Linked DNA regions of Pelodiscus sinensis. The protein of the gene in region 2 interacts with the protein of the main gene of each other region in a biochemical or structural test. Links are inferred from orthologs where the notes say so. Each region holds a gene or a part of one and is shown on either strand. Other genes may lie near its edges.

What was found.
Region 1: the proteins of ARHGEF12 (region 2) and IGF1R form a complex in vitro, tested with the Homo sapiens proteins (2 studies listed by BioGRID and IntAct, with this or other methods). The link is inferred for Pelodiscus sinensis from reciprocal best matches to the Homo sapiens genes ARHGEF12 and IGF1R.

What each region holds. Positions count from the first base shown.
Region 1 is NC_134724.1:8,748,084-8,755,032, forward strand, and holds the start of IGF1R (insulin-like growth factor 1 receptor), read left to right. Parts: upstream 1-3,900; 5' UTR 3,901-5,165; coding exon 5,166-5,250; intron 5,251-6,949. UniProt on the Homo sapiens protein: Receptor tyrosine kinase which mediates actions of insulin-like growth factor 1 (IGF1). Binds IGF1 with high affinity and IGF2 and insulin (INS) with a lower affinity. The activated IGF1R is involved in cell growth and survival control.
Region 2 is NC_134736.1:4,763,525-4,771,494, reverse strand, and holds the start of ARHGEF12 (rho guanine nucleotide exchange factor 12), read left to right. Parts: upstream 1-4,903; 5' UTR 4,904-6,372; coding exon 6,373-6,473; intron 6,474-7,970. UniProt on the Homo sapiens protein: May play a role in the regulation of RhoA GTPase by guanine nucleotide-binding alpha-12 (GNA12) and alpha-13 (GNA13). Acts as guanine nucleotide exchange factor (GEF) for RhoA GTPase and may act as GTPase-activating protein (GAP) for GNA12 and GNA13.

The DNA of each region.
Region 1 (6,949 bases), on a different chromosome or scaffold from region 2:
CTTCTTGGAGTCCCTCACAGTCTGCTTCTGTCTTGACTATCCTAAACAGTTTTGTATCATCTGCAAACTTTACTACCTCACTGCTTACCCCTTTCTCCAGATCATTTATGAGTAAGTTGAAAAGGATTGGTCCCAGGACTGACCCTTGGGGTACACCACTAGTTACCCCTCTCCAATCTGAACATTTACCATTTATTCCTACCCTTTGTTTCCTGTCTTTTAACCAGTTCTCAATCCAAGAAAGGACCTTCCCTCTTATCCCATGGCCATGTAATTTACACAAGAGCCTTTGGTGAGGGACCTTGTCAAAGGCTTTCTGAAAATCCAAGTATACTATATCTACCGGATCCCCCTTGTCCGCATGTTTGTTAACCCCTTCAAAGAACTCTAACAGATTAGTAAGACAGGATTTCCCTTTACAGAAACCATGTTGACTTTTGTCCAACAAATTATGTTCTTCTACATGCTTCACAATTTTATTCTTTACTATTGTTTCGACTAATTTGCCCGGTACTGAAGTTAGACTTACCGGTCTGTAATTGCCAGGATCGCCTCTAGAGCCCTTTTTAAATATTGGTGTCACGTTGGCTACCTTCCAGTCATTAGGTATGGAAGCCGATTTAAAGGATAGGTTACAAACCACAGATAATAGCTCAGCAATTTCCCATTTTAAGTTCTTTTAGAACCCTTGGATGAATGCCATCCGGTCCCGGAGATTTGTTAACATTAAGTTTTTTGTATTTGTTCCAAAACCTCCTCTAATGACATTTCAATCTGGGACAGTTCCTCAGATTCATCACCCACAAAGGACGGTGCAGATTCAGGAATCTCCCCAACGTCCTCAGCAGTGAAGACTGAAGCAAAGAAATCATTTAGTTTCTCCGCAATGGCTTTATCGTCCTTGATTGCTCCTTTTATAGCTCGATCATCTAGGGGACCCACAGGTTTTTTAGCAGGCTTCCTGCTTCCAATGTACTTAAAAAACATTTTGTTATTTCTTTTTGAGTTTTTGGCTAGCTGTTCCTCAAAATCTTTTTTTGCTTTTCTTATTACATGTTTACACTTGATTGGACAGTGTTTATGTTCCTTTCTATTTATCTCACTAGGATTGGACTTCCACTTCTTAAAAGATACCTTTTTGTCCCTCACTGCTTCTTTTACATGGTGGTTAAGCCACGGTGACTCTTTTTTAGGTCTCTTGCTATGTTTTTTAATTTGGGGTATACATTTAAGTTGGGCCTCTATTATGGTGTCTTTAAAAGGTTTCCATGCAGCTTTCAGGGATTTGGCTCTAGTCACTGTGCCTTTTAATTTCTGTTTAACTAACCTCCCCATTTTTGCGTAATTCCCCTTTTTGAAATTAAATGCCAGGGTGCTGGACTGCTGAGGTGTTCTTCCCACCACAGGAATGTTGAATGTTATTATATTATGGTCACTATTCCCAAGCAGTCCTGTAACGGCCCTTGGTGGGTAAAGAAGAGCTAAACGTACACAAATCCATGGGTCCGGACTTAATGCATCTGAGGGTACTGAGGGAGTTGGCAAATGTCATTGAGGAGCCTTTGGCCATTATCTTTGAAAAGTCATGGAGATTGGGAAAAATCCCGGATGACTGGAAAAAGACAAATGTAGTGCCCATCTTCAAAAAAGGGAAGAAGGATGATCCAGGGAACTATAGGCCGGTCAGTCTTACTTCGGGTTCCTGGAAAAATCATGGAAGGGATCCTTAAGGAATCCATTTTGAAACACTTGGAAGAGAGGAAAGTGATTAAGAATAGTCAGCATGGATTCACAAAGGGAAAGTCGTGCCTGACCAATCTGATTAGCTTCTATGATGAGGTAACTGGCTCTGTGGGACGTGGGAAAGTCAGTGGATGTGATATACCTTGACTTTAGCAAGGCTTTTGATATGGTCTCCCACAATATTCTTGCCAGCAAGTTAAGGGAATGTGGATTGGATAAATGGACAGTAAGATGGATAGAAAGATGGCTAGACTGCTGGGCCCAGTGGGTAGTGATCAACGGCTCCATGTCAGGATGGCGGTCGGTTTCTAGTGGAGCGCCTCAAGGTTCAGTTCTAGGACCAGTTTTGTTCAATATCTTTATTAATGGATGAGGGGATGGATTGCACCCTCAGCAAGTTTGCAGATGACACTAAGCTAGGGGGAGAGGCAGATATGCTTGAGGGCAGAGATAGGGTTCAGAGTGACTTAGACAAATTGGAGGATTGGGCCACAAGAAATCTGATGAGGTTCAAAAGGACAAGTGCAGAGTCCTGCACTTGGGAGGGAAGAATCCCAAGCATTGTTACAAGCTGGGGACCAGCCACTTAAGTAGCAGTTCTGCAGAAAAGGACTTGGGGGTTACAGTGGATGAGAAGCTGGATATGAGTCAACAGTGTGCCCTTGTAGCCAAGAAGGCTAATGGCATATTAGGTTGCATTAAGAGGAACATTGCCAGCAGAACCAGAGAAGTAATTATTCCCCTTTATTCGGCTCTGGTGAGGCCACATCTGGAGTATTGTGTCCAGTTCTGGGCCCCCACTACAAAAAGGATGTGGATGCATTGGAGAGGGTCCAGAGGAGGGCAACCAAAATGATTAGGGGGCTGGAGCATATGACTTATGAGGAGAGGCTGAGGGACTTGGGTCTGTTTAGTCTGCAGAAGCGAAGAGTGAGGGGGGATTTGATAGCAGCCTTCAACTTCCTGAAGGGAGGTTCCAAAGAGGATGGGAGAGAGGCTGTTCTCTGTAATGACTTGGTAGAACAAGGAGCAATGGTCTCAAGTTGTGGTGGGAGAGGTCCAGGGTGGATATTAGGAAAAACTATTTCACTAGGAGGGTAGTGAAACAATGGAATGGGTTAGCTAGGGAAGTAGTGGTGTCTCCATCCCAAGAGGTGTTTAAGTCTCGGCTTGACAAAGCCCTGGTGGGGTTGATTTAGTTGGGATTGGTCCTGCCTAGAGCAGGGGGCTGGACTTGATAACCTTATGAGGTCTCTTTCAGTTCTACGGTTCAATGATTCTTTGATTTATAATGGAATTATTTTCAATTTTACCATCAGTTTGTGTGTTATTAAGAGATCAGGCATTTTAGCTGGTATGGCAAAAGAGCAAAGTAAAAGGGTGTAGAGGAGTAAAAGTCCACAGGGTTGCCCTGGATGGCTTGGATGCCTTAATTAAGGACCAGTTTTTAAACATTTTCTTTCTCTTGATGAAAGATTTTTTTTTAAATCTACTTGCTCAATGAAATCTTCATTTTAACATTTTTTTAACTAATCTCCCTTATTGAAGCTGATCACCGGAGCCAACCTCGTCCGTATGCATGTTTGCTTGTGTAAGGCGACTAGGTATTGCTTTGGACGCAGGAGTGAGCCTGCAGGGCTGCTGGAAGGCCTGGCAGACACAAAGACATCAATGCGTTGGTTTACACTCTGTTCACGTCTCGAAGGTTTTCCTTGCAGCCATGAGGACTTCCCTCCAGCTTCGCCTCCGCCCCGCCCTCCCGAAAAAAAAATCATCAGATTCCAGAGCAGAAGCTGGCAACCTCTGCAAAACAAAAACACCGGCCCACTGAGCTAGTGCCATGCCAGTCAGACCCAATGCTATTCCTCCTTGCACGACAGCGGGATGCACGAGACCAAGGCATGGGTGCGTGCGCGCAGAGGAGTTGTTGCAGCCTTACGTGCACTTTGCACGGGGCAGACCTAGAGGGGCTGGGCGCGCGCAGCCCCGTGCACTGGGGCCCGGCTGCAGCTGCAGCAGCAGCAGCGCGCGGTCAGCCCATGGGCGAGGGCGGCAGGGGCCGCGCGCTCTGCTCTTGTCTCCGCCGCCTGGGCTCCGTTCCGGACGGCGCCGACGATTCCTCGCTCCTCTTTTTGCCTCGCGCCTACTCCTCCTCCTCCTGCCCGCCGCTGCTGCGCGCGAGGAGCCCCGGGAGCGCGTGCGTGCGCGCGAGCCCCCCAGTGCCAGTGCAGCAGCAGCAGCAGCAGCGGGCGCCTCTTGTTTACCAGCATTAACTCCGCACCGTGCAAGGGAGCGAGCGAGGAGGAGCGGCGAGGGGGGGAGACCCGGCCAGCCCCGCCGCCAACAGCGACAGCCTTAAACCCCCAGCAGCAGGGCCTCCTTCGCCACCTCCCCCCCCCCCCCTTGGAGGAATTACGGACCCTTTGCAACCAGCTCCTGGGCTTTGACCTTCAGCAAACCGGATTCCCCCCCCTTTTTCCTAGCAGCATTCCCCCCTCCCGCCCCTGTCTTGGGCTGGACAAGAAGGGGGGAAGGTTTGCAGCGCGCACACACGAGCGTCAGTTGTGTTTGGATGTTTGTGGCATGGAGAAGCAGCAGCTAGCAGGGATGCGAGGAGAGCAGCAGCAGCAAGAGGTGGAGGAGGAGAAGTGTTGAGCTGCTCAGCTCTCCCCGCGACCGCTTTGTGTGTTCTGGATTTGTGTGTCTGTGTGTGTGCGTGTGTGTGGGGGGAGGTTGTTTTTTTGGAAGGAGCCTGGGGCAGCAGCAGCGCTGTGAAGCTGGGGAAGCCTTTTCATTCATTTTTCTCCCGCATTTTTTAGGGTCTTTCGGTCCCCCTCCGACTTACTTTTGTGCTGGGGGGCGCTGCAAGGGGGGATTCCCTTGGGAGCAGCCTCTGCTCTCTGCTGAGGGGAATCAACTGTCTTGGGAAGCTTTATTGCCCCTTCCCCCATCAGCTTGCTTTGCCCCCCCCCCCGCTTTTCCCATCCGGTTTTGTGCGTGTGTTTGCTGCGTCTTTGTGGGGTTTGAAAATGGAGGCTGAAGATACAGACTGCCAGCCCCAACGTGCTTCGTGTTGGTTACTCCGGTGCCCCTTGCATCCCTGCAGGCAGCGCTGAGGGGGGAGTGTTGCTCAGCGCCCCCCAAGTATCGCTCGTCCTGGGGGAGCCCCAGCCCGGCGTGGTTATTGTTGTCCGTGCGTAGCTGCTCCGGAAGCACCTCCGCGAGGGGGAGAAACACCTTTGAATTTGCAAACCCAGGGGAGGGTGTTTTTGTGTCTGCGCGTGGGAGGAGCGGGGTGATTTTTTTCCCCCTCTCTCCCAAGCTCCCCCCCCTTAATAGAGCTGGTGTGTGAGTGGAGGGGAAGAAATTTTGGACTTTTTTTTGGGAAAAGGGGATCTTGTCCATAATTTTAAAAAAAAGGAATGAAGTCTGGCGCTGGAGGAGGGTCCCTGACCTTATTTCTGCTCTTCTTCGCCACGCTTTGTCTGTGGCCAACAAATGGAGAAAGTGAGTATTTGGCGTTTCATTGAAACCTGCGGGGTGCAGGGAAACGGGGTGGTGGTGGGCGCGCTTGTTTTGCACTGCGGTGACTTTTGAGTTTCAAAGGCTGCGTGCGTTTGCCTGTTACTGAAGCTGCCCCTTAAGCACATTTAATACCTTGAGTTCAGGCTGCTCTTTCCTCTCAACTCACTTGCGGTGCTTGGCTTGGAAATTCGTTTACCAGAGGTTAGACACTCTCCTGTTTCTGAAGAGTAATAGGTCCACTTGTTTCCTGCCCTTACCCCATAATCTTGTCTTCTGTGTTAATTTCTGTAAGCCTCTCCAGATTTCCCCCAGATAGTTAGATTTTAAACTCCCAAGACTTGTAAGGTGCTCGGTCAACATTGCAAGGCCCAGAAATGCATGCTTTGACTGTTTATAGGGGAACAGTGACTTTAGTAACTGAATGCCTTTTTTAAAAAAAATCAGGTGTTAATACCTTATCACTGAAAGAATTTCAGTAAACAAGCAGATACTGTGTTTTGTTTTTACCTAGCGTGGCTTTCCCTTCTTGGGATGCTCAGATGTAAAAGGATTATAGTCAGCATACGAAGATCACTTAATCTCCTAATTACTTTGTATAGATCTATACAACTTGGCGTGTGTGTGTGTGTGTGTGGGGGGGGGGATATGGAGATGGACGCACGGACTGACACATTGGAAGGACTAGGGATTTAAAGATAAAGAAATCAATACATTAGAAGCTCTGTTTATACCTAGAAGTGAAGTTCTGCGGTTGCTTTTAAAAAAAACTAGCGTGAGTTGTTTTCTTCTCTGTGTTTAAATTCTGCCTTGTGGAAAACGTGGTTCATTGTGTGTTTGTGCGTGCGCGCTCTGCAAATGGTTAAGTCTCTAGTGCACAAAGATGTCTGATGTGGCTTCTTGTTGCTGTTTATCTTTTCGGAATCGCAGGGTCTGTCCGTATTGTTTGGGAGTTGCAAAAAGCCCCGACTTCGGGTTTTTGTTTTTGTTTTTTGCATTTCAAACCTGTGATTATATTATCGTGCCCGCCCCCTTCGGTTGCAGGGGAAAATAGAAGGGGTGTGGATGGTGAGAGCTGAAATGCACTAGATTGCAATTATCTGCATATTAATCGGTGCGGATGATCAGTTTGCCTGTTTTGTTAGCTAAGATTGGATTGTTGGCCCCTAAAATTAACGTTAACTTTGTCCCCCGTTTTTGGCGGTGGGAGTGGTGAGATTGGAGGGACGGTTGTTAAATGGGCCTTTTTATTTCAACCATTTTCACATTGTGCTCGATCTCCCTCTGTTTGTCTTTAAGCGTTTGTGCAGACAGGAGGTTTCCTTAAAGCTAGATCCATTCCTACTAGCTGAATAGTGTAACTTTTGAAAAATCTTGAACCACTGGTTAACGTAACCAAATTTTACTTTTTAAAAGGTGTGCGTAGGAGAGAGCGTGTTGCATCTGTTAATATCTGAGGAAAGAATTCCTGAAACTAAAAAGAAAAAAAATCATATGGGCAAACCCTTAAGTAGTAGATTTAGCTCGGAAAATAAGTTCTGTGGATGTACCGGCAATTAAACCAGTTGTAGAAATGTTTTGGGCAAGGCTAGGGTAGATGGAATCTTTAAGGCATGTTGAGTAATATTGTATTTCGTTAGACAGTGAATGCCAATTAACTCTTTAAAAGTCAGGGCACAACTTG
Region 2 (7,970 bases):
TGCGGTTGTTATTTAACTCCTGTGTTAGTTCTTTGCCCAGGTTGGTTAAATTTGTATATTTGATCTTTAGGAGGAAGTCAGCTCACTGTTAGGGAAGCTACTGGATGAACAAAGCACTAACTTCTGACTTGAGGATGCAAGCATGTCAGTCTCCTTCAAAATATGGAAGGCTGAATTTAAAAATCCGTGTGATTTGCTTTAGGGATGTAATAGTGTAGTTGATTAACTGATAAGCAAAAGTTTATTGGTCAGTGCTATAGACTGCACATGTTCCCCCCCCCCCCCCTCCAGTAAACTTTTTAGCAGGCTGTCCAGCAATCTGGCTCGCGCCGGGTCCAGGACCTACCCCTACCTTGGCTCCGCATTTGAAGTGCATTAGGAGCCAGGCGGGCAGGCAGCCCGGTTCAGTTCTGGCTCACGACACATCTGGGAGCTCAGCCCTCCCATTCCCTGGACAGGGGTTGCTGCCACCCTGCACTTCTGCCTCTGTCAGGACAGCATGGGCAGCCAGTCTGCAAGGGGAGCTGTTTTTTAAACTGGCTCCCCTCACGGACCAGCTCCTGCCTGGCACCCCAGATATAGAGGCAGCAGCGCAGAGTGGCAGGGGGCGCTTCAGGACTGGGGCTGGAGTGCACTGGCTGCCGGTCCCTCCCCCTGGGACTATAGAATAGTCGAGTAACTGATAAGAATTCATTGTTAATCGACTATTCATTTAACCAATATTTAACATCCCTAACTTGCTTTGGCCATTCACTGGTGGTGTTGCAGCCATGTATGTTATGACATACCTTTACAGCTGGGTTGTTTTTTTTCCAATAGATTTTACCAAGTTTTGGGCTCAGTGAAGGTATAACAATATTTTGTTTTTTATCTAGGGCCTTTTACACCAGCCCATCAAGTTTGTTAGATAGAAACTGACAGGATTTGGAATAGATGCCAGGAGTCTTGACTCCCCGTCCATCCGTCTGTTTTAAGCACTAAACTCCCTCCGTGGGAGTCTGAAATGCAGGTTGCAATTGGCTACAACTCCTTTTGCAATTGTGGGTTGTCGTAATGCCGGCTGGCAGGTGCCAAGGGAATGGTGAACCGTCAGTGTGCTCAGATCAGTGTTTGTTTTGACAGTTGGGAAAAGTCTTTCTGGAGGAGGCTCTCTGTTTCTCTCAGTTGTGTTGCAGTACTGTTAGGTCATTGTTGAAACAGATTCTGGATGGGTGGAAAATAACTATGCAACAGGTCTGTGTTGCAGGCAGTTTCCAATTTTGAGTGATGTTGTCTGGAATTCAGCCATTTTTGTCATTTATTGCTCCATAGCTGCCGGGAGGCTCTTTTGTCAAGGCTGCTTATTTACTCCACTGATGAAAAAGTCCGGGTGCTTGTGAAGCACTTTTAAAATCCTGCTCCACCTATTGCTGTTTGTATTAGGAGGAAACCACTCCTTCAGTTCTGCCCTGTGCTTCCTGAGAGATTAAACATTGTGAGTTTCTGGATCAGCTGTAGAGAATTTGCTGAGGATCACCCCATTGACTTAACTCCAGCCACACACTCTCTGGTGGGTGTCACTGGAAAACTTTCCCACCAAGTTGGGCTGTATTTTTAACTTTTTGAAAAGCTCTCTTCTGGAACACACTGCACTGTGTGGTTTTTTTATGTTTTTTTTTTTTTTTAAACTTTAAATCAAGATGGAGGTCAGCCCAGATACAGCAGTCTGTCACGTGGGCAAGGAGGGAAATAATAGTAAAGGAACAAACAGGAAGTAAGTGTAGTCACAGAAGTACAGTGAAGTCTTGCAATGAGCGCTGAAGAGTCCCAACAGAGAGAATCTCCAGACAAAGCGTCATATATTCACGGGCCTTTTCTTTGGAAGTCCCTGTCCCCAAATTGAGTGGCGCAGGACTTCGGAATGAAGAGCAGAAACCATTTGGTCAGTCTCCAGTGGTCTATAGATATGAAGGACTTGCTCAAATACTTGGGGCCTAGCAGTGTGTTACGTAGATCTTTTTTTTTTTTTTTTCTTCAATTCCTTAATAACTGGTTTGGAGGTATGTTGTCATTCAGAGGTTTCTCCCCTGGTCTCTGTTCTTTCTCCAGTGGAGTGTGTAGAATCTCAGTAGCTGTATGAATATGAGACAGCAATAACCTAAATCTGTGGGCTGATCTCTTCCAGTGATGAGGACTCCACCAGGGCCCCAGGATCTGTTTGTCCGTGACAGTTAGCTCAGCTCAGACAAATGATAATGAGCAGGAACAAACTCCCACTGGCAAATACATTTCATCTTCTAGGGCTGCCCTTCCCCCTCCCTTCTCTTCCATTAGGTAGGGAGATGCTTGCTTTAGATTAAAGCACTTTTACTTATAACCAAGTGACTCCAACTTCCATTTTGCAGTTAGTCTGATTACATTATTCTATTTCAGAAGTCTGAACAGGAAATACAGCAGGGAAATTGCCCTATTGCAGGCTATTCATAAATTAATTAAAATAAATATTTCCTTTCTTCCTTGTCAATACTTTAGTGACTGATTGGTCTGGCTCTTGAACTGTTTGAGTTCCTGTATATGTGGAAATCTGTATTGTTTCAGTAACCTAGTCTATGAAGAATGTGTTTAGCTGTTTGCACATTACAGTGGCACACAACATTCTTCATCCTTTGAAGAGGTTTGATTGTGGGTAGCTTCCCTTGGTTGTGTAATGTGTACCTTTGGCACTCAGGGCAGTGTGGGAATCTGAGAGAGGTTTATTTGCTGGCATTTGGATAATGCCGCCATAGAGTGTCTGAAGAGTTGTGACTTCTAGCAAATGTACAGGTGTGTTTGACCTGCGGGATAGGAGCAGCCAGAGTCCTTGAGTGCTTTTCAGCAGGTTAGCTGAGTTTGTGTTTGGAGTATATGGGGTGGGGGGGAACTCCTATAGTTCACATCATACATGTAATTATCCAATATTAGTTGACAGATTATTTCAGTTATTGATTTAAACTTTGTTCAGTTGTTGAGGATTTGAGGACTGTTCCTCCTTCCAAGCTTAAAATAGGAAATAACTTGCAAAGGGGAGGAGGGAATGCATTTCTCAGCTAGTGAGCAAAGTTTAAAAATACAGATGAATCAGCCATCAGGAACTATTAAACTAAGGGCTTGTCTTCACAGGGAAATTAGCCAGGATAATTATACTGGCATAACTCCCTGTGTGCACACTCTTATTCTGGAATAAGCGTGTCTACAGAGGGAGTTAAAACAGTATAATTAGAGGTAGCACAGTAAAATATGCTAGTAAATTTCCCCATGCAGACAAGCCTCAACACCTCATTCCTCTCCTCTCCTCTGCCCCGCAACCTTGCTGCCTATCCCCCTCCTTGCTTGCTGTAGCATTATTTGTGTGCTAGGCATGTTAACTCTTTGCCACTGCTGTGGCAGAAAAGACTATTGACTATTAGCTTGGGGCAAAGGGGGAACCTTAAGTGTAGAAAACTGTTGTAATCACTGCAGCCTCAGGAGTGATGGAATAATCATATTAGTTCTTCTAATGCATCTGGATCATGATCCTAGACTGTCTACAAGGACTGGGAACTTGAAATGTCAACACTGGTGTGTTGTTCTTGTCCCATCCTGGGAACAAGATGGTGAATACGGCCACTCGTGTCCTTGGGGATGGAATTCTATTTTTAGTAGCTGGGAGCACAAATACAGGTATTGATGTCTTGGGGTGTAGTCTGTGCATTCTGAAGTTGGGAGTGTGAAGCGATGCACTAGTGATCTAACAGGAAGATTGTAATGATGACATTAGTGGAAATATTCCTGTTTATGGAGTCAAAATTCTGGTGCCTCTAAAGTTCTCCTGTATTGATCTGTTGGGGAGATTGGGAAAGGAGGGATTTCATAATAGATTGAGAAAATGTTGTTGTAAAAATCTTATGAGGAAAAAAATCAGACATTGTTTCTTTCTGATAATTGGCCCATAACGAGTGCTTGTCCAAGTTTATTTGCTTTGAAAGCATTTTTATTTATTTGCTGGAGAGCTTCTGATGCTGGCGGGTGCTATACTGAGGTACTGGACCTGAAAACCATGCCATTGTCTGCCTTCCTATCCCCTCTTTATTTGAGACAGGATTTTGGCTGCTGTTTGATAACTTGCTCTTGATGAAAGGGATTGGAGAACAGGGTAAACAGAAATTTTATACGTTCTACAATATTATACATAAATTTGTATAACATGCACTTTAAAATATGGAATACCTCTTTGAAATTGATTAAGGGAAAATATCAAGAAAGGAAATATGACCCCCTTTTTAAGAGGAGCTCTGCATATACCGCTGTCTTGCATCAGAAGCCATCCCAGGCAAGTGATCAAGTCAGCTGTGGTGCAGGAGGCAAATAGTTTTTGCTGTGTGCTTCTATGGCAGGCATGTCCAAAGTCCGGCCCGCGGGCCAATTGCGGCCCGTGTTCCGGTTTAATACGGCCCCCCAGGTAATTTGGCAATATCTATCTTTTATGGCCCCCAACGAATCCATATGTATTGAGATGAATACATTGTAAAATCTCAGTTAATGTCAGTTGGTCTAAATCAGTTATAAATATATTTGGACACAACATGTATACTTGGTGTTATGTTCCTGTTCATATTTTTTGAACTTAAAAGTTGACAGACAACCTTTATTACCAATAATATGTAATGTACTTTACAATGTTCCTGACATATACTTCAGCTTCCTGGATTTTTTTTTCATCTGGCCTTCAGATATGAAAGGCAGAGTGATTTAACACCTGTTTAGATTTGTCATCCATGTGACGAAATGAAAAGTGTGCCGTTTGCAATAAACTTTGCATAAAATAGTTAATTTGCATTTAATGTTAATGGTTCAAAGAATGTCAGGCAAAATGGTCGGCCCTCGCGCATGTTCACTTCATCAAATCTGGCCCTCTTTGAAAAAAGTTTGGACACCCCTGTTCTATGGGCATTGTGTTTTCTGTTGGTTTGTCACTGTCTTCATACAGTGTTTCAGCTCCTTTCTTTTCACTGAGTAATCAACTTCCATTTTTGTACCAAAACTTGAAGATGTTATCGTGGTCCTTAAGAAATCCCCAAGGAGCTGCCCTAAAGCAGCCTGCTGTGTGATTTGTAATCTTAGATGTGGTAGGCTAGTATTCTTGGGCACTTCACCAATTTCCCTCAGATACTCAAATTCTCTGCTTAAAATAATATCTATTAGTAGTAAGTTTTAAGCGCATTTATAGCTTTGACAGTTTCAGCCACAGCATGGGTACAACTTCAAGGTTTCTACTACATGAAAAGAAATGTCTTAGCACTGCAGGTTATGTTCAGTGTTAACACAGGCATGCATAAGAAAGAGACAGATGTAGCTCCATCTTTTAATGACTGGTTCTCTAGACTGTCTTGCAAATCTAATCCTAATAGCTATGTGCTCCTCTCAGTGGAGCTCAGAAGGTGGGTTTTACTGAGTAGAGCTAGTGGATTTGTCTGGTGAATCACTCAGGTGAATGATAAATAGGGTCCTTTTGTGAGTTCACAACTCAATGATGTAGTTTCTTCTCACCCTCCCCACTCACCTTGCAACTTTTCTCACTTTTGGGGTTCTTATTTAGTTCCCTTGTGAGAAGTTATTTCAGCTGTGTAGTGCTGATCCTGCATCTGATTGCTCGTCTCTCATTGTCCTTTTGGCCGTTTGGTGTTGTAGAGATGCTCTTTCATTGCATGTAATGAATCTTGAATCGGAGTCCTCATTGAAACACCTACGTACTCTGGGTTCTACACTAGGACCCTAAATACTGTCTTGAGGATATCTCTCCCGTGTGACCCATCTGGAACCTGGAGACTTCTAAATCTTTGCTTGTAATCCTCTACCCATCTTTACCATTCCGCTGAGACATTCTTCTTGGTTTTCCTCCCTCAGTCTGAACATTCTGAGAGTATTTTCTATATTCAGAGGTATAGCACTTGTCTTCTCTGAGGAGTCCTTGCTAAGGTAACTGTAGTGGGGTGGAATGGCCACCCACTGAGCCGGAGGCGGAGGAACCCCTCTGGGAGCCATTTTGGGCCCAGCCTAGCCCCGCCCCCTCACCTGACCAGAAGTCAAAGGGCGGGACTAGGACTATAAGAAGGCTGCCTGGGAGCTCAGTCAGGGCCCAGCCTCCGAGGGAGCCGGAGGCCGGTCCAGAGCTCCTGTCTGGGGAGGCTAAGACCTGGGCTAGGCCGTCCTCAGCCGCCTCCCTGGAGGCCCGCCAAGGCTTCCCTGCCGGGACTACTGAGGCCTTGCCACGCCAGCCAGCAGAGCAACCCGAGGACCCAGAGGACTGTCCCGAACCACTAGACCGGCTGGACCCCCAATGGGTACTGGAACGCCGGGGCCGGACGAGCCCGCGGGATGCTACAGAGCTCCGACCCCTTGACCCCTGGATTGGGCCGCCTGGACCCTGCTGGGACAACACCGACCTCGACTCCACGACGGGCCTGCCGGAGCTACAGGTACCAGGGAAGGGAGAGACGAGAAGTGGCCCAGGGGGTAGCCGGGCGGGGAGCCGCCCGCGGCCAGCAAGTTATGGGCCGGAGCCCTGCTGAGCCAGGCGCAGCCGCCCGGCTGCATTCAGGGCCCCTGGGCCGGGGTGCAATGAGGTGGGTGGGCCTGCGCCCCCCCTGCCACCCTGAACCGGGTGACAGTCTCCCCCCTCACCGCGGCTGCCGACGCCCTCCCGGGCCTGCTCCGCAACGAGGGGCTCCGACGGGTGTGGGGTTAGCTGGGCCGCCCAACTTGAGGGCCTGGCCTAATAGACTATGTTTGGGGGCCCGCCCTGCTCAAGGGCACGGGTTTACCTACGGTGCGGCTGAGACCGACCGTGCGTCGGGCAGAACCCCTCAAAGGGGCCGGACTAGACTGGGTGCCAGGCCCTGACCTGTGCAATACTAGACTGACTGTGGCCCGGACCTGAAGGAAGGCCGGGAGAGACTCGCCTATTAATTTAAGGCGCAGTAATGCAGGGAGGCAGGCGCATCTCCCGCTGCGCCTGGGGGCTGAGGAGCCGCCTCCTGAGGGCCTACCGGCCTATCACAAACCCATCAGTCCCCCGGAAGGGGAAAGCTTAGAGGCTATGGTTGTCACTGCCAGAGGGCAGTGACCTAAAAGGCGACGTGGCGACGAGAGCCACCCGCTACAGTAACCAAACTAATTTAAAACTGTGAGAGGAGTGATTAGAGAATTTGACGGAGAATTTGGTTCTGTTCCCACTTCAGCCTCTGACTTGAACTGTGATGTTGGGCATGTCGCTTCCCTTCTCTGTACTTCAGTTTCCCAATCTGTGAAGTGGAGCTAGAAACTTACTTTTTAGAAATTGTTTGAGATCCTTTGAAAGGCCAGGAAAGTGTCAAGTAGTAAGCTTTAAACATTATGCTTCTACTTAACTCGCTCTATAAATTGTCTACTGTAAATTTGCTCAGGTTTCTGTTAGGAGGAGGCCTCTATCTTGAATTTCTTCAGCCTGATTGACTAATACTATGTACTACAATGATTTTCAAATGCATAGATTATTGCTAATTTGTTAAGCAAAGCATTGGTTGCTCTTCCTGAAAAGCATGTTGAAAGTGGCTGATCTGCAGAGCCTTATAGCCTAAAAGTTGCTTTCTCCATAGTGTGGATTATGAGTGCAACTTTCTTAAAGGGATATCTTGGGGGCCGTGTGAGGGGATGGCACAGAGGACACATTAGCCCCACATTTCACTCTGCGCTTAAAATGTGCGTAACTGTACAAGTAGCATAAAGGAAGTGACTGAAAGGTGGTGGAACAAGTGTGTTGGATGACAGCTGCAACGCTGACAGCTTTTGTGTGTCTTTACGGTATGAAGCCGTCTTTGGAGGATAGCTCGTTGCAGTGCTTTGAGGTAGGAAGGACAAAGGCATGTAGACATGTGAAGCAAAACTAAGAGTATAAGTTACAAACAGGAGAGCAGTGCCTTTTTTGTAATGAAAAA